2 linked regions of the Schizosaccharomyces pombe genome follow. The protein of the gene in region 2 interacts with the protein of the main gene of each other region in a pairwise test. Each region holds a gene or a part of one and is shown on either strand. Other genes may lie near its edges.

The links.
Region 1: the proteins of ptc1 (region 2) and atg11 interact in a two-hybrid assay, tested with the Schizosaccharomyces pombe proteins (2 studies listed by BioGRID).

Annotation. Positions count from the first base shown.
Region 1 is NC_003424.3:2,626,994-2,640,487, reverse strand, and holds atg11 (autophagy associated protein kinase regulator Atg11), read left to right. Parts: upstream 1-6,936; 5' UTR 6,937-7,118; coding exon 7,119-9,899; 3' UTR 9,900-10,040; downstream 10,041-13,494. Other genes in the region: myo-inositol transmembrane transporter Itr1, read left to right, coding at 1-787; sfp47 (SH3 domain-containing protein), read right to left, coding at 1,189-1,367, 1,431-2,184, 2,278-2,509, 2,680-2,762; protein ahk1, read right to left, coding at 3,617-6,277; SPOM_SPAC7D4.05 (hydrolase), read left to right, coding at 10,305-10,467, 10,503-10,579, 10,669-11,115; dolichol-P-Man-dependent alpha(1-3) mannosyltransferase Alg3, read right to left, coding at 12,685-13,494. UniProt on the Schizosaccharomyces pombe protein: Involved in cytoplasm to vacuole transport (Cvt), pexophagy, mitophagy and nucleophagy. Recruits mitochondria for their selective degradation via autophagy (mitophagy) during starvation.
Region 2 is NC_003421.2:1,998,463-2,011,075, forward strand, and holds ptc1 (serine/threonine protein phosphatase PP2C catalytic subunit Ptc1), read left to right. Parts: upstream 1-6,073; 5' UTR 6,074-6,216; coding exon 6,217-7,260; 3' UTR 7,261-7,930; downstream 7,931-12,613. Other genes in the region: nucleoporin Nup186, read right to left, coding at 1-854; GATA-type transcription factor Ams2, read left to right, coding at 2,830-2,869, 2,967-5,020; SPOM_SPCC4F11.03C (uncharacterized protein), read right to left, coding at 8,270-9,277; mannosyltransferase Imt2, read right to left, coding at 9,697-10,734; SPOM_SPCC4F11.05 (uncharacterized protein), read left to right, coding at 12,040-12,139, 12,185-12,327. UniProt on the Schizosaccharomyces pombe protein: Serine and threonine phosphatase. Has a specialized role in the heat shock response. May be responsible for the dephosphorylation of hsp90.

The sequences.
Region 1 (13,494 bases), on a different chromosome or scaffold from region 2:
TTCAGGATCTAGATGGCAAAAGATTGTGAAAACTTTTAAAGAATTATATTTCAATCCTTCAAATTTCCGTGCATTGATACTGGCTTGCGGACTGCAAGCGATGCAACAACTTTCCGGATTTAATTCATTAATGTATTTTTCTAGTACTATTTTTGAGGTTGTTGGCTTTAACAATCCTACTGCTACTGGTCTTATCATTGCAGCTACTAATTTTGTATTTACCATTGTTGCCTTTGGTGTGATTGATTTTTTTGGTCGAAGAATCTTGCTCCTGTTGACCGTATGGGGAATGATTGCTGCTTTAATTGTATGCGCGGTGGCTTTTCATTTTTTGCCGAAAGACGAGAATGGCAATTATACTTCTGGTCAATCAAATGCTTGGGCTATCGTTGTTTTAATTTCGATGATTGTTTACGTTGCGTCGTATGCCTCTGGACTTGGAAATCTCCCTTGGCAACAATCCGAGCTTTTTCCTATGTCCGTTAGAGGTCTAGGCACTGGCATGTCTACTGCTGTTAACTGGGCTGGTAATCTTGGTATAGGTGCTTCGTTCTTAACATTGATGAGTGAAATAACACCCACAGGAACGTTTGCCCTTTATGGAGGCCTTTGCTTTTTAGGATGGCTTGGTGCACTTTTCTGCTATCCTGATTTAACCGATTATACCATCGAAGAAATTGGGGAGCTGCTTAAACATGGATTTGGAGTTCGTGAAAGTATGCGACATCTCAAACGCGTTCGACAAGAGCGAGCTTGGTCTCGTGAAGATAAAGAGCAAAATAACTAGACAGTCTCTTATTTTCATATTATTTTTTCATCACAGTCACCATTAGGTGAAAACTCATATATTTAATTGCGCTTATCAAATCGAGTAATACTGTTTCATAGATTTTGTATCTTAATATTTATATTAATTGATTACATATATACAAATATCTTGTGCCTTGTGTGCTATATGAACTCCAGATGTTGCCGCTAAAGGGTTGAAAGCAGTTAAGCTAGACTTAAATTGTCCATTCACTTCACGCCGTAAATCTATATTTTTCTTCCTTACTCGTATTTATTTTTTTGATAATAAATCCTTATCTAAAAATAGTACTAAATCCTTTCTTTTTTGAAGACGCGACTTTGAATGTATTCCAATTCAATACATTTTTTTTAACGGGAACATATTTATTGTATCACATATTAGTATTCAAGTTCTTCAATATAATTAGACGGAAATAAACCAATTCGACCAACAGTAGGACTGACGACAAGGCCTTTCCACCACCCGTCCTTTTGTCTATTTAAAACCACTAAAGTATCGTCAACGTTTAAGTCAATTTCTGAGGGAAGTGTAGCTTTGTAAGCATAAAGCGCACGTACTATTAATTAGTTAGTAAAATACTATAAATCATATTGACTTGAGCATTTTATTCAGAACTCACCATAAGCAAAAATGGGAAATCCGTCCGGAGTAATCGTAGGATGAGTAGCATAATATTTTAAAAGCGACTCTTTCTTATCATCTAAATTTACTGGATTCCTGAGAGTTGGTATCGCTTGGACTGGAGGTGGTGCTAATTGAAGGGTAGATGCTGTTGCTTGATTAGAGGGAAAAACTGCAAGTTTCGGTTTAACTATAGGTAATTTGTGCTTCGTAAGTTCTCTCTCATTATTTATATTAAGCGAAGGCAACGTTTTAAATGGGATTTCGGTGCTTTTAGTCTTTTTAGGAAAGTCGTATTGAGAAGGCCATTTGGATCCAGGTTTTTTTGCATCAACAAAAGAAAGTGATGTGCTATTTATTGGAGAAGTTGTGGGAGTTAATTTTTTTGGACTTTGAGAAATAGGAGATGTGACAGTATCCACTGACAAAACTACCCCCCTATTTTCCATCAAACTTTTCCCATCCTTACGATTTTGGTAAGAAGGATAATAGTTGTTCACAAAAGGACTTAATCTAAGCATTGACAAAGCTTCGCTCAGCTGATTATTGCGCTCATCAAGTTCCGCATGTTCTAAAGAGTAAGCAGATATGGGATTTGCCGTACCACTATTTTTTTCAGCAGGTTGAGTAATCTTTAAAGAGTTCGCAATTTCCATATCACTTTTAGAAGGAACTTGCAATTTGTTATGGTACACTGGATTTGTAAAAAGAATAAAATTCTCCATGCTTGTCATTAAAGCAGCAGCCGAACTCTATAACACCGTTAGATTAACTAGCTAGAGAAGGAAGGCATAACATAAAGTGTTATTGGAATCAGAATAATAATTGCATATTTGTTGCTATACCTTAGAAATAGTTTCATTGGAGAATTTATTTTCTCTGTCAACATATTCTTTCATAAACTCTTTAACATGGGTCTGAAAGTAACGGGACGCTTCCAAATGCTTCTTGTTACATTGCATAAGTTCTACGCACACCTGTTTGGTCAAATCATTTAAGGGTGCACATTGCTTAATCGCTTTAATTGATTTCGTCAATTTTGCTAATTTTGCAGCATATTCCAATTCCAATGAAATTCTTTATAAAGTAGATTAGTCAAAGTTTGAAATGAATTATTACACATTTGTGTCAGTTCGAAATATAATAAGGATAACCCATCATTAAAAAAATACTTAAAAATTAATGATTCGAGAGTATCAAATGGAATAAGATGCTTCTCTTCGAAATTAATTTAAGCTTCAACTTACCTTTGTTCAACAAGCTGCTGCCAATTGTTAAGCGCCTCAGTGCTGATTTCTGTACTGTACTCGTTTGAAGAAAACGAATTCATTATGGGGGTATCTCTTTCTTAAGTTAATTCGTATAATTCAGCTTAATGAGACATTCATTGTTTTTTTTTGAGTTGGTAAAGCATGCGACACTGTCAAGTTTCCAACGCGCATTAAATTTGAAGTAACAGAGGTTAATGCTGTTATACTATGCCGAGGGCAGTGTAAAGAATATGCAGAAGCTCTAATTAATGAATTTTTTATATCTATTTATTTATTTATTTATTTATTTTATTTGAATTTATTTTGATATAGGAAATAATGCTAGATTATTGTTGATCTGAAAAACAACTACGGCTTTCCTACTTTGAAATCTGCTAGATAAATTAGTAGATAACACGTAAATTGAATGCCTGTTCTTTTATAGAAATCTATTGTAAAAAAAATAAACATTCAGCTTTTGCCGGGGGGATGTATATCTATTCTCTAGTTGATTCAATTAGTATTGATAAATGACCTTTAAATTTTCTTTGATATACCTTTTCTTACATACATTAGATATACATTTGACATATCTAGTTTCAAACAATTCAAGTAGTATTTTCAGTTTTTTGCAGCTAGCAGACAAAATATACTCAAGCAAATTGCCCACATTAAAGAAATGCTTCAAACCTGTTCCGTTTTATAAAACGTAAGCATACTTAAAAGATTTTTCAAACAATATATTAGCTAACTAAAATGAAACAAATGATTAAAAAATTTGAGCTTCCAATATACTTATCAGAAGCAACTGATAAAACTAAAAAGAGCGGATATCGCATACAGATTTAAAAAAGAAGGACAGTAACATAGATATCAAGCAAATTCTCAAAATGCGCAAGGAAAATAAATAAGTTAATCAAACAAGATCCATTCTTTAATTGTAGATGTTAGAAGCATACGATTTTGGAATACGGACAGTTAACGTGGGTGCCTCCATGTCCTCCGTCTCGTTTCCTTTGCGTAAAGAAAGCGCATGATCAAATTCATTAACAACAAGGGCCCATTCAACTAATGCACGGCTGGTATAGACTAACCTTTTGCCGTTTACTGAAACACCTTTGATGCTTGACAAGGGGCAGCTTATATGATTGCTGTTGTACAGCAACATCTTCGACTGGACAGGAAGAACTCCATGTGATGAGCGCTCTAAGAGAGCGTCATATTTTTCCTTGTTTTTCCCGAGGGAAGAAAGAGGTTGGGATGGAGAGAACTTGAAAACAAACCGGTATTTCAATGTAGATTTTAACATTGAATCAGGATTATCTACCAAATCAGTAAACACATATGAATTCGAAGCAGAAAGAGTATGATGATAAGCAATTTCAGTTTCAGCAGGGAGACCAGATACATTTTTAAAAAGCGACCCAAAAGCTTTTTTCAAACCACTCGAAAAGCTATTTGAAATTGAGACGACATCAGTGACTAATGCTTGAATTGTGCCATCATCTTGTTTATAATTGGAAAGCTCAAATTCGGTACTCTCCGAATTACCATAATTTTGATAATGATTACAAACAATGGTTAACCGCCTCATTGGAACAGGTTCACTGGGTTTTGTGATAGGAGATGCCCTACCGTTTACGAGACATTCTTCGTGGTAAAGAGCTTGGGCTGTGAAATAATGCTTTAAAAGGTTTTTTACACGTAAAGTAACTGTACCTTTAAATTGGAATTCTTCCATATCATCAAGCTTTAAGAATCTCCAACATACAAGGCGCTGAAAATAAGCTCTCACAAGAGGCGACCAATGAAGAAACAATTCCTGGAAAGTATTTTCTTCTAGTAACCATTGCAACGTTACCAATTCTTTAGATTTTATATCTAAATATGGCCAGACAGCATAAATGAAAGTTATACTACGAACAATGGACATATTGTGGGAAGTTGATATTAATCTTTTGGCAACTGAAATCCAAAAAGAAAAATCAAAACGGTGTGAGAAATCGTTAAATACCCCGAAACACTGTTCAACAAGAGAACACAGCAAGAAACAAGATTGAAGATTAAAAGCAGGGGTGTTTTTGGCAACATTAATTAAAACTTGCTCTAAAACGGCTAATAAACGCATCTGCTCTTGTCTGCAATCCCCAATCTTTTTAAAAGCATCTTTAATATGTCCGACAAACTGTTGAAGAGTCGATAAAGTCGTGGCAGTTACAGGCATCTTAGGATTGTATTCTTCCATTGATGGATTTACTTCTGGTAAAGTCTTACATGGAAACTGCTCATGTCCTGTAGGTAACATTAATGGCTTTTTGTCGCTAATATGTATAACCGAAATGGTTAATTCAAGAAGATAAGCATGTAAGCATATGTAACCTGGAGCGAAATATATGACATTATCAGGTAATTCGAAAGAGAATTGCAAAGCTAAAAAAGAATGATAGCATGATAAAAACTCGAAAAAGAATCCACCTGTAGAAGACTTAAAGCGACGCATCCATGCTCGTGTGAATTCAATAGGCTGCCTATTGTAACCTATAGTAAAAGGCGTTGAAGTTCGTTTTGGGTAATACGGATGCATAGTCGAGGAAAATTGGTCAGTAAAAAATGGCGCAAGATACTTATGTGAAATAATCATTATTTTTTCGTCGAAGGATGAGCCCAAAGCATCAATGTACTTTTTCTTTACATCTAATGCGCTCAAGAAATGGTCGGCAAAAAGTGGAAGTTGAAAAAAGGAGAGAACCAAGATACTCGCACAAAATGTCGTTAATGAATACGGCAAGGACTTTTGAGAAAGCAGATGAACTACAAATGTCAATGTATCGTAAAGTATTAATTGGTGTTCCAAGTACAATAAAGCAGAGTGTTCCACTTTGTTCCAACAATGATGCTTGGCGATAGCAAGTATGGCCTTTGTATATGTGATACGTTCTGAAGTAGAAATATTAGATTGTAAACGTCGAAGAATGGATACCCACCAGTTATACAAAGAATGCCTAAGTTTATCCAATTCCGGTTCGGAAACGTTTTTAGTGGTTAAAGAAGCCAAATGTGGTAATAAAAACCCTCTTATAAGAACTACCTTATCAGAATCCTGCTGATTAATAAAATTGATGAATTGCTCGGATAAAGGACACTTTATTGGAGAAACCAGTGGCTCCGAAAGACGTAAGGTAGATTGGACGGCCTTATTTATTAAGCTAGAAGGCGCTATCTCCTCCGCATTAAGGCGTAGGCTTTGAGAAGACAACTGAGAAAAAGGAGAGGTAGAACGAGAAGAGGAATCAGAAGATGATGATGAGGGTGATTCGTTGTAAGGCTCATTTAAGATTGTTGAGGAATGGCTTACTAAAGTGTTTTCATATTTACCATAATCATCTGTAATCGAAAATGGTTCAAAGTTCGAATCAAGGTCGTCAGCTACAAGCACATTGGTTGTATCGACGGGATCATGTTCCTGAATACATTTTACCACAACAGGATAGTTTTTTGTTTGGGAACCCGAATGCTCTTCCTCTTTAAAGGAGGCTGTATTGGGAGGACCCATAATAGCGGCAAGGATCTCATATCGTGATTGAAAGTCACCCATTCAGAATTTCAGAAATGAAGCTAAATGTAAAGAAAAGAATAAGTGTGAAATGCAAATAAAAAGAATATAATTAATCCCTAGATTAAAACCAAATTAATTAACATGAGCCGTGCAATCACCACTAATAAAGAAATGAAGATTTAAAGGACAAGCTATGCAAATGCCAGAAAAAAATGTACCAAATATGCTAAAAGATGCTCAAAAGTTTTTCCTACAGTAGAGAAATTTTGACTTTTTTAATTTTTTAAAAACTTTATCGATAAAAGACAGAGAAATCGGTAACCAAAAGATTCGCGGTTAAAAAAACAAGAAAAATACTTCCGAGTTTAGAATACTTGTATTCTAAAAGAATGAAAAGTAAACAAGTAGAAGATATCTTTAAATTAAATATATGAAATCCGCAATGTAAATTAGCATCCCCAACACTTTCGTTCACACCCAGTGTAGATGCTTGGTTAAGGCTGAGTTTCCGAACCCACCAGCTTGAGGGTATACGGCTACATATGACATATATTTCAGTAGACAAACATAATAAAACCAATAATTAAAATTGTTTTTTTAAGCTAAATGAAAAGACATTTGAAATTTTAAGCTGTATTGTCTTACAGCTTCAACTCAGTGTTCATACAATGCCAATCTCCTTTTGGTAGTTAGTACCCAACAATCGCCTAAACCAAATAGAACCCGCCAACTTACCAAACAAAACGGAATATAAGGACAGAGAATAACTATATGCAACGGATTATAAATAACTGATATTGAGTTTTCTTTTAGATCAAATATTTCAAGTTTAATGTTGGGGAATCGCGAATGATAAAGTTAAGCAATACAATAGGTCAGTATGCGTTTTCGATTGAATGATTCATTCTCCGGAAAGAGTTGGACCATAGATAATGTACAATGGACTCCCCAAAATCTTGTAGCTTGGATTATGGAGCTCAATATTGGACTTAGTGATGAAGCAAAACTATTATTGCCGAACGGAATGTCTTTGAATGAAACCGTACTAAATAGTGAAAGTGATGTGGTTATTTACGTACTAGATCAAAACTTGTTGACTTTCACCTACGATGGTGATAAAATTCCTTCTATTCCTTCTCTGAAAGGACAACCAATATCTAATGTACTTACTGGGATTATAGCTGATTCTTCTTCAGATCAATGGAAAGATAAAATCAGCAAGTGTCTTTCATTATTATCTGATATTTTAGAGTCTTCTTCAAAGATTCATAATCAATTAAGCGTATGCCATGATGAGTATTCTACTAGTATTGTTTCTCCAGAAGTTGCAATGAATTATTTACAAAGAAGACAATCTGGTATGAAAGATTTACTTTTCGTTTTCTACGAAAGACTAGATCGAGTATCTGTGTCTGATTTACTTCATGATTTCCTCGCTCTACCAACTGGTTCTTTACCCATTACTCCTCTTAAAATACTTTCAACAAATTGGACTAAATTGGACTCCTGGTTAAACTCCATTTCAGCTCGTTATGCTGAAGCTCAAAAACGAGTCCAACAGTGCATTGGCGCCGCAAATAGTATTATCGTTTCCCCATTCAAGGAAGTTCCTTCAATCAAGGAAGGAGATGATGCTTATTATCATCTACGTTCCGTCGCTCAGGATGCAGCCAATATATTGCAAGAGATCCTTAAAATAGAGTCAACTTCAACTACTTCTCAAATCAAACCAAAATGTAATTACGAAACCGAAATTACTGATTGCATGGAAAAACTTCAAAGTAATCTGTCGGAATTAAAAAGTTCTAGAAAGTCATCACTAATATCTTTGAAATCTTTTTGGCTTTCCTTTTATAAGGTTTCTCTTAGATATGATGCATTGTACGAATATCTTCGACAAATAGCAGAAGAGCTTGACAGAAGCAAATTCGTTCTTTCTCAGTCTCGAAACATTTTTTCGCTATATATCGACATTTTAATGGAGGCACTGAGGAGGACTGAATGGCAGGAATCATACAATGTAAGCCATGATAGTTCTCTTCCTTTAGACCAGGAGAAGGAGCTTTCTCTTAGGAAGTCTTGGCTCAGTCATTTCTCTAATTTGCTTTTTAATCATGGCCAGCTAAAGTACTTACCAGTTTTAACTCGTGACGAAATTTCTAATTATTTACTCAATATTCAAGCACATCCGAATTACCAAACTTTTCATCAAATGCTAAGCAATCGGCTCTCAGAATATTTGGGCTTTCCTGGAAGTCCTCGAGAAGCCGTTTCCAATACGGTTCAAGCGAACAATTCATTACATGAAAAATTGGCAATGTATCAAAATCGTTGCAATAATTTAGAGGCAATGTTAAGCCATCAAAACGGCTTTAATTATAACATTAACAATGATGGTTTATCTCCAAATGCTCCACATCCACCCATCAATGAGCAGTCTAATTCTTCTCAGCCATTTTACCGTGTTTCCCCTAGTATTGTGCCTCTAAACGTAATTCGTAAATTAACTAATCGCAAAACTTCTTTTACCGACAGCCACATATTACGACTTCAAGATGAGGTTAATCAATTACGCAACGAATTAGATTTGGTAAATAAAAGAAATGAGGACTTATTAATTGAGCTTCAAGGGAAGGAAGAAAAGATCCAATACCTCGAAACTGAAAATGAGGAAGTGCTACAAAAATACGAAAATTTACAGGAGGAACTTTCATCAACACGGAAACTGCTTACGAAAAATGAAGCGGCAGTTGCAGAACAGCAATCAAACGAGGAGATGCATTCTAATGAACCGAACATATTAAACCTTTACTCCGTATTTGAGGGCAAAGTTGATAGCTTGCAAGAACTTTATAATGCTTTCAAGCTTCAACTCACGAGTTTGAAGCAAAAGGGCGAATACGCTACTCTTGCAAAAGATGCCGAAGCAGTACAACATATTATTGAAGAGAGAGATTATGCTCTTGCAGAGAAAGCTGATTTACTCAAACTTTCCGAGAATCGAAAAGAACAATGTAAGATATTAACTCAGAAACTTTATACCATTGTATTCCGGTGTAATGAGTTACAGTCTGTTCTTCGGGAATGCGTTACTCAGCCTGGATTTGATTCAGATAACGAAAGAGATGGCCATGCATCGATTCCAGATCGCCAAATTGAATTTAATTCCAAAGATTTACAGTATCTTTATTGGATGGATGGGGAGGATGCTGATAGGAATTTCCAGGAATTTTTGAACAGAATGAGTTCTTTAGATTTTGACTCTTTCCATAACTTTGTTGTCAGTGTTTTGACTCAAGCACATAATCATGAACTTCGTTGGAAACGTGAATTTCAATCTAACAGGGACAAGGCGCTGAAAGCTATTTTGGACTCTCAAAGTAAAGTCTCATTAAGGAATTTCAAACAAGGATCCTTGGTCTTGTTTTTGCCTACTCGACGTACCGCCGGTAACAAAAAGGTGTGGGCGGCTTTTAATGTTAACGCTCCTCATTATTATTTGAACACTCAACCGCATTTGAAACTTGAAAGCCGCGACTGGATGTTAGGAAGGGTAACTTCCATTGAAGATCGTACTGCTGATGATTCGACGGATAAATGGCTTCGCCTGCCTTCAGGTACAATATGGCATTTAGTGGAAGCTATCGATGAAAGATTTTAAATCATTATGTGACCTAGCTTATACCTTCACTTGCTTTTTCTTTGCTTGTATTTGTGGGACTGATTCTATATGACAGACATTTGGTATTATCATACTTCTATTTTTTCAGGTTTTGATCTGTTATGGCATTATTTACTGAAATTTGTTTTTTGGTCTCGCCTAGTAAGGTATCCGACGTAAATTAACGACTACTATTGCTGTAGCGTGTCTCTCGTCTTGTAACATGATAAATTTTTAATGAACTTTTAATCTATTCGTATATTATTTAATATGTAGAACGCAATCGCTCGCAATAAAAGTGATTTGCAAATATTATTTATCACACCGAACAACGCACTGGTGGTAAGGAGTACCTTATGTAAATTGCTTTGTGTAGTGTGTCCCATCAAAGTACAACCTGGAATTATGATTCCCTCAAAAAATATCCAAAAGATCAAGTTGGTTACGTTCGATGCTTTTGGAACAATCCTTCATTTAAGTAAACCTGTTCCAATTGTGTACAGCGAAGTCGCTCAGAAGTATGGAGTTCATGCAACTATTGATGAAATTGAACACAATAGTAATAAAGGTTAGCTTTTGGTTTCTATTTATCTAATAATTTAGCATTCAAGGATTTCAGTGAAAAGCATAAGAATCATGGAAAAAAGTCAGGATTAAATCCTCATGACTGGTGGATCAAAGTATGTGTCTGAATTTCATTGAGATTTGTGTTTTGTAAAGAATTGAATCTCTTGATTTCTAAAAAACCTTTACATGCTAACAATTTTAGGTTATCGAACATTCTTTTCCAACTCCTGTTCCTGCAGAAATGGCTGAAGAGCTATGGAGTTACTTTTCCAAAAAGACGGGTTACACGATTCATCCTCTTCTGATTGATTTCCTTAAGAGAAATAAAGAAGAGAGGAAATACATTATTGGTATTATTTCAAACACAGACGAAAGAATTCGTACAGTGCTTGAAGATTACGGCATAGATCATCTAATAGATATATATGCGTTTTCGTACGACGTTGGATTTGAAAAACCAAGCAGGGAAATATTTGATTATGCTATGGAAAAGGCTGTTAAACTTCTTGGACAGGAGATTCAACCAGAAGAATGTATGCACCTAGGGGATGATTTAATAAAAGATGTTTCAGCAGCAAGAAACATCCAATGGAATGCTGAATACTGTGACATAAAAACCAATTTCCTGAAATATTTTGAACAGAAGTAAAATAAACGCAGTCAGGTTTACCGCGTATCCAACATTCATATCTGGACCCCTTCTTCAAGGACCTAATGTGACAATAAAGGTTTCACATTTGAAATGATAATTTTTTCTTATAAATGAATATTTCGTCAGAATTCTAATAAATGTATAAATTGATTATATTTTCAACAAAGCTCTGTTGTTCCTTTGTGTACTAGCTTTTGACATTGAAGAAAAATTATATTTATGTGATCCTTTTAATTTTTTAGAGATTGATCTATTGTTGTTTTCATTATACAAGGGCGCAAATAAGTAAACAATGAATATTCCGAAAAGACATGAACATGAAATGGCTAATGCATATGCATGCTAACGAAAATTTAAAAAATGAAGAATATGCCGATAAACGCAATAGCAATCCTTTTTATTTTCTAATTTGAATGACCATTCTAGTCGCGTTATTCCAAGTCTAGCATCCATGCTACGAGAATAATCGTTAGACCAACAATCTAGGGCTCAGTTATGCATTTGCTGTTTTTACGGGTTCAAAATCTATACAGAGTAGCTCACAAAATTCTTTTCTTTAATGGAGTGTATACTCTATTCATAAATATTGAAATTCGAAGAACTGACGCAAACCGAGCAAATTCGATAAAGCATTTATTTAGCTAAAGGGATTTATGCTTTTAAATTATCTAAATTTTATTTAACAATTAGTACTGGCTCTATATTTAATATTTTTAAGACATTTACATATTCACCATTATTCCCTCGAAATGCCAATATGCTGATATAAAGAAATATTTATTACGCTGCACTAGCTATAGTAAGATAAAAGTTGCTTTCTCACATGTATGCCTGCGTTTATAGTCATTCCCTTAAAAAGCAATTATTCTAAACCTTTTATGAAAAATATATTTTGAAGTGCAGTTGAAGCTGGTAGAAGTTGATTTTACTTATTAGCTTATTAGAACTATTACAAGTTACGCTAAATATGTTTTTTTCATAATCCATACTACGCTACATCAGACAAGAGGCGCTTACAGCGGTCGAATGTATCCTTAAGAAGTTCACATTATGCAAATAAACAGCAAATCACAAAATTACTTTAACGAGGGAACTGAAATATATAATGAAACCTTAGTAAAATGTGACTGTCAATGGTGCAAGCTATAAAATCAGCAACTTGTTTATTCTAATATTTGCAATAGTTGTGCGGAAAGCACTTGTGTTCTTAGCAACTGTTTGTTTTATATTTTAGAAACGCTTTTTTAAAAGTAATAATGAGCATTTGATAAAAACACTGGTGCTAATTCATTTCAGTGTCGAATGATTAAATGTATGAATTTTTATCAATCTGTCAATCCCCTGAGATTTTCATTGAAGAGAATATTCATCGAATTATGACGGCATAAAGATACGAATTAAAAGATTAGACTAATGTTCGTTTTTATAAGATGTTAATTTTCAAAAATTTATAGTCGGTACACAAATGAAAAAACTAAAAATTTTGTTTTTTAAAAACCATGAGTAATTAAAAGTGAAGTGTTTAAGCTTTTTATAAAGTTTATTTTGCGTATTAGTAAAGAGGGATCAGGGTTTTCTGTAGTCGGATGTGTATAGCTTCAAAATAGTAATAAGCGGCACGCATACAGCGATTAATGAAGATAGTTTAGTACTAGGAAAAACATTCCATGCGTATTCTTGTAACATCCATAAGCCAATTACTATCGGAGCAGGAAAACTAGCTTGATAGCATAGATATGGTGAATACCAAGCAAACCATGCATAAAATTGATAATGCAGGGATCTTGCACATAATATACCAATCAAATTGGATGTTGCTAATGCAGTAAAGATAAAATTAGGAGTTGCGAGTTGGAGTTTTGGTAAAGGCTTCAAGGTCAGCATGGAGTTTACCATTGCAAATGGTGTTGCTCTGCTCAGTTTATTCCAGTGTTTGCAGGTAAATGCAACTAGCAAAGCAACATGAAGAAAAAGTATTGATGTGGAAAATGATGTAGACTCAAAAATGCTGCGTGGAATGAATCTCCAGTTTACTGTCCACTTATAATCGAATGCTCTGCCAAAATCAAAGGCTTGAGTCCAATACGACCAAAAATAGGCAAGGAAGGGAATAGAAAATAAAATTTGTACAATTATAATAACAAAAATATGCATCCAGGTCTTTTTGGGCCCCAAGATTTGGAGCAAAAGAACTAAATAAGCTGGGACATAAAGCAAGGAGGACATCTTGACAGAACAAGCGACACTTAGTAGAATTGAAGCTCTAACCCACTTTTTTTTGCATGAAGACAAAATAAAAAGGGAAGAGAATAAACTGTTGAATCCATCGTTAAATAAACGTAAGATAAATATACTGTGTAGACGTTTTGAAAGTAT
Region 2 (12,613 bases):
CTCAACTGTACTTTCTGATCAGGAAGATATTCAACTTCTAATACCTTGTCTATGAAAGCATATAAAGTGGGTAAAATCAAAACTGCATTTTTATTTGGGGAGTCGTACTTCCTTAACATGACCAAAAGGCTTTCAAAATGAGAATTTTGAAACAAGTCTACTTTTGCGAGTTGGTAAAGTATAACAGAAATAGTTTCCAACTCCGCGACATGTGCCTCATGAGAGAGTCTAATAAATTCTTGAAAATCAACAACTTCAGATACTCCAAGTATTTGGCCGCCCGCCTCACTTTTCAATATCTCTGAGACTTTATTATCTAAAATAGGTATTGTGTCAATGCAAGTCTTCACCAAATTATTGCCATTTTCGCATAAGCTCTGAAGATAAGACTTCAGGGCTGTAGAAATGTCCGACTCCAAGTCTTTTAAGCCTACAACCCTTGTTAATGATTCTAAACATTCCAAGAGTTGTTCTCGAGCTAGAAAAAAGAAATACAACGCAGCTTGAACGGGAGTTCGATCAAGATTTTGAGACGCTTCAATGCCACGTTGTAGTAAACTTGCGCATTGAATTTCATCCAAATTTAACTGAGTAGAGAGAGTAAGAGACAACTGGATGAACTGCTCATTGACTTTGTTGATTACACCGCCTAATTCAACTTCACCGGATTCCAATTTTTTGCGAGAATTAGCATTAGCTGGATCTAAAGCCAAAAATTTTAGAAAATCCTTTGAGTAGGATTCAAGACATTGTATTAACAAACGAGAAGAAACATTTGGATTGCTGGGATTACTTTCGATACACTGCAATAAGTATAAAAGAGCGGAAAAGTGCTGAGATTCCCAGACATCCATGGTACAGCTTCTCAAAACTAATGGGAACCGACCTGCAGTTGTCTTAAAATTAAAAGAGTGTGGAAGAATCCAGGTTTTATGATGTTCTGGCCTAGTTGTCGAGTTTGGTCCTAAAAGGAGGTATATAGTAAAGTAGAGAATAATAACAGAATGCTATTTAGGCAGTAGCGAAATTCTTCATTCGAAGATATCAACTCTAGTACGACTAAAAAGTTATATTATAATTTGAAAATATCGTGTTTTATTACCAAGATTGATGAAAATATTTTTGTTAAGTTGCTTGGGGAGCCGTTAAACCCAGCATGCAATGCCATGTGGGTATAAAGGATAAAATAATATACAACTAATAAACAAAATTAATTTTACAACTTTTTCGTTTTCGAAAGCTCCTTGAGTGACCAATGAAATGAGTGATACTACAGTTTCGAATAGCTCTTAAAATTCACAACGAAAGTACTAAAGTACTATAAGGATTAATTAAAATACAACTTTTAGAAAGAGTATTTGAATTAACTTTTTCCTCGTCTACCATACCTATAATCTCTAATTTGCTATAATAACTGTTAACTTAATTTAATTTACTCGTTGTACCTTCAATGAGGAAGTTCAGAGTTCATAGCAGAAATCCCTTTCGTTCATTGTATTTTAAAACCCTCTCTTTTCTTTTGTAAAATATTCTCTATTCATCCCATGTGTGTTACAGTTTCAATGGTGATTACAGACAAGTTAGAGAGCCCAAAATCTTCAGTATATAACTTGCTGAATTGCATAACAAAGGGCTTTATAATAAAAAGATTTCCAATACTTTTTAAATGCGACTGGGCAGCTGTACAATTGAATGTTCAGCATACCTAGTGCCTAGTGTAAACATTTATCGTGAGAAGACAAATTCGATGCGGTGGAAATCGTAAAAAGGGCAATCATAAATACAAAGAAAAATACAAAAGCATATCTTTTTTAAAAAAAAAGAAAACTTAGAGTAGCATTGGTTTTAAATAGTTGTATGACTTGTGTTCAATTGCGCGCTTCGTGCTTCCGATCACTAGCACACCAAGAAAGTCTCTTGTTTCATTTTTAGTATAATCTGTTACATTTATCACGTTTACTTGTTATTGAAGCAGCGGCCGTATAAATCACCTCTACAAGTCTAAATATACTCGATATTATAATAATCATAAATAAACCTTGAGCTAGAATACTTTTTAACCTTATATATATAAGTACATAAGTTCAAGCTCTCATTTTGGTCATAATAATGATACCAACCTGTTTTGTAACAACCTTAATAAACATAAAAGCATTCAATTCCTAACAATTATATAAAGAGCACAAGAAAAGTGATGCTCAAAGAATTTTACTTGCCAGAAATTAAAAGTTACCATTATCGCTTTTAGCTTCGGCGGTCATAGTGAGCTTGGAAAAGTTCAGCATCCATGAGAGTAAACGATATTGCCTACTCATTAATAAATATAGGAATTTAGCAATTATATAATATATTGAAAAATAAATAATTTATGCTTTCAATGCCTTTATTTTACTTTTTATAATGGAAATACCATTTGTTATAAAATTCCAAACATTAGGTAACACACATTACCAAGTAACAATATGGGGATTAGTGTCGTTTCGAGCGTATCTAAAGTCTTAAGTAAATCAAGTCAAAAACTGGGTTGTTCAAATATCTTCGAAAACGCGATAATTCACGCGTTATTTTTTTAAAAAATAGACATTCATATACATTTTTATTATAAAATTTAAAATTTACTGTATCTTTGGATGCCCGGAATTTTCATTAGGAAGCGCGACTCGACATTCATTTCATGCTAGCCAAAGATTTAACCCACCAACAACACAACACATTCTTCATCGATATTCCCCTATAGAATACGAATTGATTGTCAAAGTGTTCGTTCGTTGAAGGAGGAGGAACTCTTGAAGCTACGAGACCCAAGCCATTGTCTCCCCTTCGCGAACAATGATGGAAAAGTCTCTGAACACGGTAACGTCTTTACCTCGTATGTCTTGCTTTTCCAGCTAAATGGCTTTGCTCTTTAGCTCTTCATTTGTCTTTCATAATTTTATTCATTTTTTCTAATGTTTGTCTGTGTTTAGTTCGTGTTATTTATTGTATTGATCGCGCATCCGCGATTCGCTGTTTAGCAAAGTCTCAACATGCTGTGCCCATTCAGGTGCTGAAGGAAGTGGAACCGAAAAAAGTGATTTGCCAGGTAGACATTCAGCATGTTATACAAACAGTTTGCCGCTGTAGTCCTGAATTGAGTTGCAAATCACAAGGTGATTTTAGCGTGTATTTTTTAGACCATACGGAACCAGATGAACTCTTCGTCGGACTAGGCTATTGGTCTTCTTTGTTGTTATCTCCTACTCTTAATGCTGGCACGTCAAATTCCGACACAGTTTGGGTGAATGGGTTTATTGTAGAGTTCGGTATTCAACGGTCCATAGAAATCAAGTTGAGATTCCAATCCTTGCAGAACTCCTTCGAGGTTGGAACTCCAGAAACACATACGTCTTCTAAATTTTTATCTTCCACTTTACCTCCATCTCTTATATTTGATCCATCATCTTCCGAAAAATCCGATTCTATTTCTGGATCTTTGTTTGATACGAACTATACATGTCCTGTCAACATAAACGGTCTTTCCAAACAAAAGTCTGTCCGCGAATTAAAATCTCCTTCACGTCCCTCCGCATTAGCTGAAACAAATGTTGAAGAGCTTGAGTTAGATTCTTTGTTCCATGCGTCAAATGACATTTCATGCTCTGCAACTTCTTTCTCTGAGCCATACATACTCGATCATCAAGCGGCGCTTGACCATCCTGCTACTGACCCTGTATGTTCTGCGTCGTCTACTACTGTAAATTCTGCAGTAAGCACAAAAAAACGCCGACGTGAAAGTAGCACCATTTCGCCAGAGTCGGCTTATGTTGCAGCTCAGCTACAAAATCCATCTGAACGTGAACAAGTTCATGAATTTATTAAAGAACAAGTTCGAATAGCTCGTGGGCGCATTGAGAAAAAGTTTACCAATGTACGTGGGAAGAATCGAATTGAAGAACAACTTACCTTGAGCTTGCAAGAAGGGAAAATTCCACCATATTGTCAAAACTGTGGAACCATCAAAACTGCCAATTGGCGCAATGCTACGTACATGAACATAACTTTGATGCTTTGTAATGCATGTGGTATATATTGGACGAGTCGGCGCTCGATGCGTCCAAGAAATTTATGGTCTACCTATAAAGCATTTGAAACAGAGAAACCGTTGGAAAATGATGCATTTGCTCAGCTTGAGTTAGCCGTATATAAACTTTCCCAGCAACGAAAACTATCTATATCCATCTTCCGTGAGCTTGAAAATGCAGGACGGCACTCTCCTCTGAATAGACTTACGTCTTTAGACTCAACACACTCTGCACCTGATCCCAATCATATCTCAAAACCCTCTGTTGTTAATCAGCAGAAATCCAGAGGAGGTCCCCGTACTGCTAAGCTGAAAAATGACCTCAGACGCATACAATCATCTCCCATTGTTGCACCTACTCCTGATACATCATTTCGTGAGCCTTTATCCGAAATTGGGTCTAATGATAGTTGGCTGGTATTACCAAATTCACTAAGTGCCAATATACAAAATGATGTTTTAAGAAAAACTGATTTCATGTGTACTGACAAGGAAAACGTCGCTTTTCCTTTGAAAACCACAACAAAGCCTATGCCTAAAGTAAATAAAGAAGAGACAGAGCCAACTCTGCCTGTTTGCGATTCAGAAAAAGAAAATGATGATTTAGAGTGCTATTTCAGAACCCCTCCAAAACCAACTACCTTACAAAAGCAACAACAAAGTCCATCACCCTGGAGGTCAGAGTTATTTTTGTCTGACCCTGACCAAAACGTATTGACACCAAGGCATAAGCCAAAGTTTGATTTATCAAAGGCATTGTCTTCGGTTGCAAAATCCAATAACATTGAGAATTCACCTCAATTACCAGAAAGATATGATTTTTCTTTAGAATTGGGGTTGAATTCTCAACTCGATAATGAAGAAAGACGCGATATTCCTCTGATGACAGATTTGGTGATGCCAAGTAGTCCGCCCATGGTCCCTGCTGACAGGCATTTATCCGTTGAAAACACTTGTTGAAAGAGCGATAAAGGCGTACCTTTGCTTCACACATTACCCTTGTTCTTTAATTTTTTGTTTTATCAAGAAGTCATGTGTGATCAAAATTGACATCTTTCATTATTCGAGTCTTCTTGCTTTTTTATGATTTTTATTTTGATAATGACATCCTTAATTCGTTTTCTTAACCGCAAAAAAATGATTGTTGCTGTTAAAGTCCTTACTGCGTAAGAACTCCCAAGGCATGTCCCCTCAAATCCGTCCTTCGTTCTTTTTATTTCTAAAGCAATTTATTTTATTTTCTTTCATACCATGAGCCGTTATTACCTCCCCCTTGATTATTAAAATATTTCAAGTCGTTGCTTATTGTTGGCGGCATAGCCAAGAGCATGCGACAAGCATTCTATAAATCTTGTCGCAAAATAGAAGTTGGACACTATTTCTTTTAATCTTCTCAAATGTTCTTCGACTTCATCTTTGAGGCTCGGTTTATGGAAATTTTGGATACTTCGTGATAGTTCTGTCTGTTTTGCTTATACAAACAAATTATAATTTCATTAATTGTATTATGAAAGCCGATATGGACAAAGCCACATCCTTATTTTACATACGGAAAAAGTTACTTTTAATTATTTATATGAACACTGTTATTCTTGTTAGCATGTTTATGTTGCGAAACGTTTCTAATTGATTATTATGGGTAGACCGGATAATTGATATTTAGCAAATTCACTAGACGAACACATGACAAATTTTTTTCAGTAATGCGAACCAAAGTCACGCGAAAGCAAGTGTAAAAGTCGAAGGATTTCAATACATGGTTCAATATTTTTGTCTAGAATAAATCAAACGTTTAGTTCATATATTCAAAACAACAGCTTATTGCTGCTTACTATTTCTAATTTTCTAATAGCCTTTTGTTAGCATTTTTGTATTATAATGTAGTTCAATGCAGAGCGGATAACGGTTTAGTGGAAGTTAACCTAGTACGTAAAAATGATTTCCGAAGATCTCGGTATACCACGCGTGACGTAAATGCCCGAGTTTATTAGCACTGACTGACTTAACAAGTTTATACTTACGCAGAAACCCAAGGAAAATCGGTGTTTCTCGTATATACTATACAATCAGCAATTTTATACCTGATATTATAATTGAAGGTATTTAGTTAATTTGAAAAGCAATTTTTTTGTCGGTACTGAAGTGTTTGAACGAATATGAAGGGAAGCCATCCAAATGCAGGTTCCCTGTTGGAACCACTTCACAAGTTGAACCCATTTTCTGAAAATTCTACAAGTGGACATCGAAAAAACGCTAGTGATCATTCGGCGGATGGAGAAACTCGACCGATTGCAATTGAGATGAAGGATAGTAAAGGCAACACAGTCCCAGTTGGTAACTCGCGCCCTAGTAAAGCCTCTAACTGGCTTGCTGGACTGATGGAGGATAAAAACCAAAGATGGCGTAGGTCTATGGAGGATACTCATATTTGCTTGTATGATTTTGGGGGTAATCAGGACGACGGCTTCGTTGCCGTTTATGACGGACATGCTGGCATTCAAGCATCTGACTACTGTCAGAAGAATCTTCACAAGGTACTTTTGGAAAAGGTTAGGAATGAGCCGGACCGGCTGGTCACAGACCTAATGGACGAAACATTTGTCGAGGTCAACAGCAAAATTGCAAAGGCTACTCACAATGACATTTGCGGTTGTACCGCTGCAGTTGCTTTCTTTAGATATGAGAAAAACCGCACCCGCCGTGTTCTCTACACAGCTAATGCAGGTGATGCACGTATCGTATTATGCCGTGATGGTAAGGCTATTCGACTTTCTTACGATCACAAGGGATCCGATGCCAATGAGTCTCGTCGTGTGACCCAGTTGGGTGGTCTCATGGTACAAAACCGAATTAATGGCGTTCTTGCTGTCACAAGGGCCTTAGGTGATACCTATCTTAAGGAATTGGTCAGTGCGCATCCCTTCACCACTGAAACCCGAATCTGGAACGGTCATGATGAGTTCTTCATTATCGCTTGTGATGGCTTGTGGGATGTAGTATCGGATCAGGAAGCTGTCGACTTTGTTCGCAATTTCGTAAGCCCTCGCGAAGCCGCTGTTCGCCTGGTAGAATTTGCATTAAAACGTCTTAGTACAGACAATATCACTTGTATTGTAGTTAACTTGACTCGCAATCCCGGTGATCTCGATGATTCAGGACTTACCGCTGATAATGATTCATACAGTAATGACTATTATTAGGTATTTGATGGATTCAATGATGTGCTTTCTGTTGTTTCGTAACGGTTTTTCGATGTCTTTACCTCATCCACAGTACTTGTTTGGAAGCCGGAATGACTTAATCCTATTTTTTTGTTTACCAAGCACTGTAATTGCATCGATTCTTTTCCTTTATTTATGGACCTTGTATTCTCATTTGGACATGGTTTTCCTTTGGGTCGACTTATTTTTTCTAATTAATTACTCTTCTTTTTATAAACCACTTTGTGCATGTTTCTCTTGTTCTTCTTTTTTGTCTAAAAGTAATGTGTCTAAATATCGATCCTAAATCTGTCCAAATCTAGTTTCTTTTTTCTTTTTTCATGATTTGCTACCTTTTCCTCCAATCTGCGTGCCACTGTTCGAATCAATCGTATATTCATCATTAGCCCTCTTCATACCCATTTAAAGGTACAAACATTTCACTCTTTTTAAGGTTCTTCGTGAGTGTTTTCGGTATTTTTATTTACAATTGCTTCGCAAATATTATGAATGTACTTGCGTGCATGCATTGGTGTTTATAACAAAGGCTATACGTTCACCAAAAAAAATTTATTTTACCCTTTTATCGTCTTTAATTTTCGATTTAAAAGTCGAATTATAATTATTATTCTGAAGTTACGGGTTGTCTTTATTTTGTCCCGTTCCTGCTAAAATACCATTTGCACGTAAAAATATATATACATACACTAATTGTACCAAGTATTCGAGATTTTAGCATTGGCCTAAACATAGGAAAAAGACAACGCTTTTCTACTTACTGTCTCAACTCTAGTTTTCATACATAAAGGTGCAGAGCAATACAATCAAATGATACTCACCGGATAAAGACATGCAATTGTTTTTTATAATTACCGTTTATAGGTTTTTTGTTGAATGATCTGGAAATGAATGACTATAGTAATAGATAATAATACATGAAAAAAACATTGACAAATTGAAACAACCACGTTAAACCGATCATACATAGCTGAACTGAAGTCAACTCAACTCATTTTGTCATGGTGAAGTCAAAGTTCTCACCAAACAAGTCATTTATGCTTTCAGTGGTTGGAATGTCTGTAGGAAGATTTAGAGCGTTGTCAAACGTATTAGTTAAATGCGAAGCAAAGCTGCCATCATTACCGAACGCAGCACTGTAGTTTTCTTGTGCTTGCAAGTCAATTCCCATTTGCTGGTTAGGAAACAAAGAAGCCGATCCTGCAGTACTTTTATTTTCAGAAGATGGGGAGCCAAACAAATCCAAATTACGGGAAAGAGCTGAATTGGAAGTACCAAAGTTGTCTTGCGGAGAGGTAGAAGAATTTCCAAATAGATTCGGTAATAAAAACTCACTGGCCTGCAGATGAGCATCTCCCGATGCATCCGTATTCATTCCAAATTGGAAGGAATCGTTGTCTCTTAAATAATTAGAAAAGTTTGAGCCTCCAAATTGCTGAGATGCATCCTTTGTTACGTCTTGATCATTTACAGTTGTCTTAGGTGGCATATTTGGATCTGCTAAAGTCCCATTAGTTGTTTTTGGCATCCTATCAGGAAGCTGGATTGATGATTGTTGGTTCAAGTTACCCAGTAACTGACTTTCGCTTAAAGAAACCTCTCCCGGTTTCGAAATGTTCTCAGAATCAAAAGAGGAAGTGAAAAAGTTATTGCCCGAGGGCAAAGATACATTGCCTTGAAGACTGTTTGCTCCAGGTGGAGTAGCGCTCACGAAAGACGCGAACTGAGATTTCTCCTCTACCTCTTTTGCTTCCAAAGATCTTAAATCGCGCTCAACAACACGTTTTGCTTCAATAATGCGTATTTCTTCCAAATCGCAATAATCCTGGAATTTTTGACATGCCGCCTGCAACTGACTATGGTAAAGAGCATTGGGAACATTAGCCAAAAGGGAACGAAGCAAATACCCTACATTTAAAAATATTTCATCCAGTGCTTCACGAAGGGGCGTATTAGGTTCTTTTACTCCATTGGACTTTTGTTCACCTTCCGCATCCATGGAAGGAATAACAAACAATGGGAGTTCTATGCAATCACAAAGCTGAATAGATCTGAACAACCTTTTAGTTAAATAGGATGTTCAAACTTTTGTGAACCAGCGAACTCTGCCCTAGAATTCGCGTTCGCGTACGTAGCTTGTGTTTGGTGGTGAAGGTTGAGGCTCCTCTATATGTGGTAAGATTTCATAGTTCCTTAACGAGTTTCAACGCAATTCTCTATGCACCGTCTCGTAATCACAGTATAACAAGCAATAGCAAATGTTCATTGAATTCCTAATAGTAGAACGGAAAAGGGGATGCTCATTCGTGTAACCATTCAATATAAATTGAAACGAAGTTGCCTGTTCACACTAGAGCTTTGAAATATCATCTTTAGGAAAGAAGACGCATATTTTACGGAAACGTACAATGCACAAAGTTAGACGTCTTCTTGAAGAGCAAGAGGAAGTGTAGGTTGTTTACGTTTCGATGTGACAAATCTTTGGACATAACGGCTGTCCAACAGCTTGGAGAAAAACATATAGCTAAGGATAAAGTAAAGACAAAATCCTGCAACGATTACATATGCAAGGTGACGGTTAGCCCAAAGGATAATGCCTGCATCGTTATTATGCCATGACGATCCTTCATAAAAGGTGAAATAAGAGTCGTTGGAAAACTTGTAATCCCTTTCAAGTAAAACACGAATGTGGTCGTAAAATGCGGGTGGGTTGGGTAGTTGTCTTTTGTACTTTTCCCAGAGAAAGCTGATTGAAAGGGGACCGGTACTCAACATGATAGTCAAGTAGGGAAGCCAATATGACTTCGCATTTTTTTCGAGGTTTTGAATGATCAGTTCGAAGTATGGATGATGAGGAACACTTCCCATAACATCGTTGGAAACGCCTACAGGGTCGGTCCTGCGAACCCATACGGGATAATAGAGAAGACTATCTAACCGTTGACGACATCCATCGTCCAAATCAATGTAATTTCCTCCATAATGATAAAGAACGAAGTACCGAATAACATCCGCTCGTTGAACATTGAAAGGGTAAGCATCGAAGTATGGCAAAAACCAAGGATAGTTATCAGCAATGAAATTACGAGACATTTCATCAGTCCAAAGGATGTATTCGTAATCTGGGTGTAAATCTATGCAGCTCTGTTGAGCACCTTTCCATCCTTCAGGCACTTCTGTGGTTTTCCAGGTTTGATGAATGATTTTTGGAATAACAGGTTCCCCTGAAATATCGTTCAAGGAATCAAGTTTCAAAGTTGGCAACGGTTCATCTTTGGAAGGAATTGAATCATTAAGAACTTGGCGTAAATATCTTAGTTCTTCGGAAGGAATGATGTCCTTGGTACATCTGTCTGCAAACATCAAGAATTCATTGTTGAAGTAAAGAACGATGGAACTCATCAAGAAAAAGTTGACGGCAGCAAAAACTGCAAATTTATATATGACTTTCACCATCCTAACAGTTTTCTAATATCAACAATGGGTTAACAGCAGAAGGGGCAAAAGTATTTTTAAAAAGATTTAGAAGGTTTGCACTTGCAATCCGAAAAACGATAGAGTGTAATGTATACAGTAATGAATGGAGAGACGAACTTGTTAGCAACGAACTATAGTCCAATTCTAATGGAGACTGTTCTGAAGAAAGAGAAAACGAAAATGGAAATGCTAATCTAAACAACTAGGGAGTAAGTAATCCTTAGAAAGCTTCAAATGCTCGTGACAGTACTAAATGCAATTTTATAAGGATGAATCAAGAAAAACGTTTTGTTTTTCAAAAGAGAAAAACAGAGGAACTTTTTTTTTTACTTTTATGTTTATTCAAAGTGGAAGAAAGATATTACCCTTTCAAGACTTCAGAATAGTAAACAAAGGCTTCAGATGATGCGAAATTTTGAAGTGATTGCTATTATTAAAGGAGTTTTGCTTGATAAAATAATAAATAAAAGCCACTCTGTCTTTGTGTTCAGGCATCACCATGACGATAAAAAAAATCATGCTATTATTTTTTTCGTTTACACTGAATCTTGAAGGCGTCTATATAAAATCATACGAGAAGAAATTGACCAAAACTAACATTTTGTAAACATAAAAAGAGTGATATTTTGAAAGGCTTGATGTAAGGAAAATTTGGTAAATAACAGCCATGTAAAACGGTTTAATCTTTTTTGATGGATCTTTGAAAAAATAAGTTTCCACAATCACAGACTGTAATGTGAATATGATTTCTTAAAGATTTTTAAACTGCGAATTTTTTTTTTGTTGTAGTAAGCGGCGCATTAATCGATTTCAACTGTTGCAGTTGCCTTTAAGAAAGTATTTTAACTTTAAGCCCTTCTCACATTAAAGGAAAGACATACATGCATGCCCGCGTCTCCTTAATCAATACAAGTCGGTTTCCCCACAATTTTTTTTCTCAATACACTTTTTAGATTTCGCACCGAGGTGGCGAAAGAAAACCAGTCATAAAAGGTCCGAGGTTACAGTGTGCATTATTACCAATTTTCCGCTCGTTGCAGAGGAGTGTTTGATAGCTGAGCATTGTTCACTCCTAGGAATCGAGACCTTGGAGAATATCCCTTCGGCTAAGCCATGAATGTTACCACAGTGACTCTGGAGGGTTGTTCGCTTCTTGTTGGTAATGTGCTTTAAGCTTGATTTTTTGCATGTCTGTAAACAATGGAGCAGACAGCTTGATCATCAACAAGGGAAAGGTTTCCACGTTTGCGGTTCCAAGGAGGTTGATTTAAAGTCGATGAATATATGGAGATCGATTTACTCAGTTTTTCGATTAAAAGAATACTCAACCTGAGCGCATTCATTCATATCTACAGTCGATATTTCAGACCTGACACGTTTCTTTGTTATTAAGTCAATTACCATTTTTGTATATTAACGGCTGATTTAGCTAGTAAGCAATCGATAACAATGTCTGTAAAGAAGCCATACAAGCATCCTAATTGCACAAGTGTTATTCACATTAATAGAGTAGCTATTGTTATTGAACAAGAAAAAGGCAAAAAATCAAAGCAAAACTTAATTCCCAGCTGAAAGAGTCAAATATAATAGCCGTATGACTTTTGGTGTTTAAATGAAATTGCAGAATAAAGCCCGTTAGAATCATCGTATATATATATATATATACCTACTAAGAAAAGTGCATGAATGAGCATTTACCATGCATGCATGGAATTAGAATATACTATATTTGTTGTTAAAATAAAAAATAAAGAACTGTGTTATCAAAATCTTGAATGTTTGATTAAAATTTTGCAAAGACCCATTTTAGCAAATGCTATTTTGTGTGTTTACTTTTCACATAACTATTCTTTTTTTC